2 linked regions of the Saccharomyces cerevisiae S288C genome follow. The protein of the gene in region 1 interacts with the protein of each later gene in a biochemical or structural test. Each region holds a gene or a part of one and is shown in the gene's direction. Other genes may lie near its edges. The genes, in order: YAH1 and ISD11.

Region 1 (2,985 bases):
CTCGTCGTCATTAAACAGCGTGAGGGGGCCACAGTCAAGCAAATCCAACTCCGCCACAAGACCGAGTGCTATTTTCCATGGCTCTCCCCCAAAGCTAGTTAATAAAAAATAAGTAACAAATCATTATAGTAATTCTTAATCGATATCTATTTAAGAAGTGTAACAGCACATGCAATGAACCGACTTCGTCATTCATTACCTCTGCTTTTCCCTTTTTCAACAGTCACGTGCGCATCTCCCTTCCGGGTAAGCACCGCACATGCCAAAGACCCTATCCTGGCTCGCCCACTCACTCATCTCCATTAGAGACTCAACCACATTTGTGGGTGTGTTACAGAAGTTACACCATACCCACTGTCCTGGTCCGCAACAGTTGCAAAATCAATGATGCCTGCTACCGTCATGCTATCATGACAAACGATGGCACCTTTGCCAAGCAAAAAACTGTAAACAAAACCAAACCAAGAAGTCCCTTGGGGTTGTGAGCCATATTCTCCATCTGCGTTGTTTCATAACCAGCCCAAAGGGTTGCACGTTCTCTTCCGTCGATCTGGAACCAAGCTGTGGCGCTGCGTGGAACCGTCCGGAAATCTACAGAAGCCGTTAGAAGAAAACAGAATAAACACACGTGACCCCGTCAGTGTGGAAAGCCGCGGGATCACCACCGTTATTCGTTTTTTTTAGCACGCGCGCGAAGATGACACATTGCACACCACATGTTTATGACCATTGTTATTACTCATTTCACTGTTATTTTGCATCCACATCCACACCCGGGTGGTTTTGCAATTCGGTAATTACTCCACGGTGCATAAAGAAGCGGCTCTGCGTAAAAAGGTATATATAAGAACAGGACTCATCTTGATTTCGGAAAGGGTCTGGAGCAACTCTCTTTCTTTCTTACTTGTTTTATTCTTGAGAAAACCAAACTAAATTGGCTACACCAAACCAACCAAACTTACACACAATAATATACAATTACAATTATTTACAATGTCCTCTGTGGAATCTTCCCCCATCTCGCGCTATGAAGACGAGGTCTTCCCTCTTTCGTTTTCAAACGTTGCTTTCGAGCCCCCTATGCTCTCGCATAGCCCGGACAGATCGACTTATGCCGATGACTTTTCTCAATCTTACCAGCAAGAATTGCTAACTTTTCCGCTATCGTACCCGATTGTCGATGAGTCAGAATGCACGCACACTAAAGATAAGACGGACAGCAACATAATAACGAGTACTGAAGACGATTGCATGTTCGATATGGAATTTAACGGCAACGCCGCCAGTGCAGTTGCTGCTGCTAGTAAGGAATCTAACTCTGCCTCTGGGTTTGCCTTTGCAAGTAACGATGCCTTTGCCAATGTCGCACAACAGAACTACAGACTGTGGTTGTCATCGGTATGACGCATTTTACCACATCTCTACTTGTTCTCACGACCCCTTGCATCGCATATCCTACACATTTTAAATCGGCATTCCTTCCAAGCATATTCTTAATTCCTAATTTTACATAGTTTTTTTTTTTTTTTAGAGAAAATAACAACAATATACATAGAACTTACTTACTCAATTCTACTATATCTTTTTTTTTTGTTACTATTAGTCATGTTTGCATGACTCCATTACATTTTCGTTTTTTTGCTAGCCAATTCTGGTCGTCGGAAAAACTTTTCATTGAATCTTTCAAAGCGTGTAGCAGTTGCATTTTTTTAAAAATGAATATGTATGCAAAATATATATATGTATATATATGCCTAATATACATAATAATAGAAAAAAAAAACCTCATACGAAATAGGCGCTTCTCGTATCTATACTCAACCCGCCCCCAATGCTGAAAATTGTTACTCGGGCTGGACACACAGCTAGAATATCGAACATCGCAGCACATCTTTTACGCACCTCTCCATCTCTGCTCACACGCACCACCACAACCACAAGATTTCTGCCCTTCTCTACGTCTTCGTTCTTAAACCATGGCCATTTGAAAAAACCGAAACCAGGCGAAGAACTGAAGATAACTTTTATTCTGAAGGATGGCTCCCAGAAGACGTACGAAGTCTGTGAGGGCGAAACCATCCTGGACATCGCTCAAGGTCACAACCTGGACATGGAGGGCGCATGCGGCGGTTCTTGTGCCTGCTCCACCTGTCACGTCATCGTTGATCCAGACTACTACGATGCCCTGCCGGAACCTGAAGATGATGAAAACGATATGCTCGATCTTGCTTACGGGCTAACAGAGACAAGCAGGCTTGGGTGCCAGATTAAGATGTCAAAAGATATCGATGGGATTAGAGTCGCTCTGCCCCAGATGACAAGAAACGTTAATAACAACGATTTTAGTTAATGTCTGCATTTTTACCCCTCATTTGTGCCCCCAATTTCTCCTGTGAATAATCTATATATATATATTTATAATTATAATTATAAGGAAACAAGTCAACTTTATAATATACTCTTAAACAATCGTTTCGCGATATCCTCTGTCATGCCTCCACTGCCAGGTCTTTATTGTTTAGTCTCAATAATCGCAATTAAGTTAATAATATTTGCAATTGCGGCAAAGAAAAAATAGGTAAACAAAGAACTGAAAAAACAAAAAAAACAAAAAAACAATGAATATAGAATATGAAATGCCCTAACAACACACACATACACACACATTCTCCTCGCAAAAGCACCATTTCCTGACCAGTGTACTTTATGGCGTCACAGCAAAACAAACACGCTTTTCTTTCAAAGAATAGAATCTTTCACAATCCCGATAATGTGTCCTCATCAAAATCTCGAAACCTTATGGATATCACAAACACGACAAACACCATGAATGGCTCTAGACCTTCGTCTATGAAGAGTTCATTGGCTCTTCCACCCGTAAAGGATTCCTTCCCATCTGTATCTCGATCTGCATCATTAAACATCAACATGAGCAAAATTAAGGACTTAAAAGACCGCCAAGACAAAATAAGGTTCCAAAGACAT
Region 2 (2,796 bases), on another chromosome or scaffold:
GGGAAAAAAATACTGTATCATTTATTAATCAAAAGCGACTTTTGGTGGAATATTATGATATGTGTTGTTAAAATATGACGTAATTTTAGAATTGTCTGATTCGTATTCAAATTTGGTGAAGGAATAACGCAGAGTTGACAATTTAATAGAATGGATTAATCGTAATTTTCAGAAACGTAGAAAAAGAAAAACAATTAAAACATTATATTAAGATTATTGATTTGCCTTTTAAGGGTCCATACTCCTGGGAGAGAACATTCAGGATAATATATATACCTGAGAAACTGGCGAGTAATTTGATAATTGTTCGGATTGCATTGTTGCCGAATCCTATAACATTAGGTATACATAGTATACAAGCAATTCTCCCGACGTTATAGGAATTCACAAAAGAGAATCGATGGTGTTACTTTATCTTCCTTCCCGTTATACTTTGTCTTTCATTATCCTATTAGATTACATTTCAGTTTCCATCAATTTTTGATGGCTGTCTCTCAATTTATATTATCTTCTTATACCGTATATGATGGTATACTAGTTTACAATATTAGACGATGGATGATGATTGGTTCTTATCATAATTTGATTTCGGCAGAAGCAATATTAGAGGTATTGTTGTAACGAAATTCCAATGTCATCTGCTTAGTATTATTAATGTTACCTGAATATTATCACATGCTGCTTAAAAATGTGTTATAAGTATTAAAATCTAGTGAAAGTTGAAATGTAATCTAATAGGATAATGAAACATATGAAACGGAATGAGGAATAATCGTTGTATCACTATGTAGAGATATCGATTTCATTTTGAGGATTCCTATATTCTTGGGGAGAACTTCTACTATATTCTGTATACATGATATAATAGCCTCTCCCAACAATGGAATGCCAACAATTATCGAATTATTCACCAGTTTCTCAGGTATACCTTGTATACCTAATATCTTGTATACCTGATATCATAATGTTCAATAACAGTAAAGTGCTAATAATTATGTATTTTTTTGCCGATTTTTCAATATTTCACCTGTTTATCGGTGTCAAAGTACTACGTTTAGTTTACTGTAGGGTTAGTTGATTTTTTTACGGCTAAATTTATGTTGTATTACGGGCTCGAGTAATACCGGAGTGTCTTGACAATCCTAATATAAACAGTCTTAGGGAAGTAACCAGTTGTCAAAACAGTTTATCAGATTAATTCACGGAATGTTACTTATCTTATATATTATATAAAATATGAATCATATTAAGTGGTGGAAGCGCGGAATCTCGGATCTAAACTAATTGTTCAGGCATTTATACGTTTGGGTAGTTCAGCTAGGGAAGGCCGGGTTTTATCTCATGTTGTTCGTTTTGTTATAAGGTTGTTTCATCTGTGTTTTATGAACGTTTAGGATGACGTATTGTCATACTGACGTATCTCATTTTGAGATACAACAATTTACAGTTGTACTGGTCCTATAGTGTAGTGGTTATCACTTTCGGTTTTGATCCGGACAACCCCGGTTCGAATCCGGGTAGGACCTTTTTTATTCATTTTTACATAATATATGCTGAATATATTGGTTAAAGAGGTTTTTTTAGTTCCCAAATGTCCACAGTAAAGTAGATAAAGCAATAGCTATTTCCATCAAATCCAAACAATATTGTATTACCCACTTATTATTAAACAATGCATTTATTGGAGAAACACCCGCTTTCCGGGTAATAGCAGTCTATTTATTCTCATTCATTTATAAGCGGCGGAGAAAAATGATTGAGGAATTGATATAATTACACAGTAACTTTACGGAGCCTAAGGTAACAAGTGAAGTTTGGATAGCAGTTTTATTCCCATTTTTATCTGCAGTATAGGGAACTTGGAATCACCTTTTGAAAGAAGAGAAATGCCTGGATTTACAGCTCCAACAAGAAGGCAGGTGTTGTCTTTATACAAGGAATTCATCAAGAATGCTAATCAATTCAATAATTACAACTTCAGGGAATACTTTTTAAGTAAAACAAGGACTACTTTCAGAAAGAACATGAATCAGCAAGACCCAAAAGTGTTAATGAACCTATTTAAGGAAGCTAAGAACGACTTAGGTGTCTTGAAAAGACAGTCTGTTATTTCTCAGATGTACACATTTGACAGGCTGGTCGTAGAACCATTGCAAGGAAGAAAACACTAAAACCTGGCCTAACTGGTCATTGCATGTAAGAAAGAACTTTCCAGTAATTTTTTCCTTCTCACGTCAGGAAATTCGTATGGTTATATCTTATAGAGAGGTGGCCGCCTTTAATTTGGAAAAGATATTATTAGATGATATTCCTAATTTTCGACCGATACTTTGCATGGTTGGACTTCAATTAGATCATGTAATTTACTTCCTTAATATCAATAGCATTTCTTTTTTGGTAGAAGATTTTTCTTTTCTTTTCTTTTCTTCAACCCACATGGGACTATAAGAGGAGAGTTTATAGCTTGTATATAAAACGCTATAACTAAAACATAAGCCCACTCTGAGGTGAGATGTCTTTACGGTATGATAACAAGCTGATGCAATGAGAGATCCTATGAATTGCTTGGATTCTTTTACATCAGGCATAAAGTTTCCGAAGTATGCAATAAAATGAGTATTTGCTTATTTATTGTTTGTATCGGGCGATCTTACACCTACTTTATGTGCGTAATAGTTGCATCTTCTTTTTTCGGACCATTCCATCGGATAAACTTCTTAGGTAAAAGTGAAAAAAAAAAAAAATTCGCTTATATATTAATCAAGTCATCACTTGGAAGCCGTTCTCTTCCGTTTA

What was found.
Region 2: the proteins of YAH1 (region 1) and ISD11 form a complex in vitro, tested with the Saccharomyces cerevisiae proteins (one study listed by BioGRID).

The regions. Positions count from the first base shown.
Region 1 is NC_001148.4:72,728-75,712, reverse strand, and holds YAH1 (adrenodoxin), read left to right. Parts: upstream 1-1,831; coding exon 1,832-2,350; downstream 2,351-2,985. Other genes in the region: 60S ribosomal protein eL36 RPL36B, read left to right, coding at 1-14; ATG41 (Atg41p), read left to right, coding at 994-1,404; VIK1 (Vik1p), read left to right, coding at 2,707-2,985. UniProt on the Saccharomyces cerevisiae protein: Iron-sulfur protein that transfers electrons in a wide variety of metabolic reactions. Involved in heme A biosynthesis and in iron-sulfur cluster assembly.
Region 2 is NC_001137.3:248,832-251,627, forward strand, and holds ISD11 (Isd11p), read left to right. Parts: upstream 1-1,886; coding exon 1,887-2,171; downstream 2,172-2,796.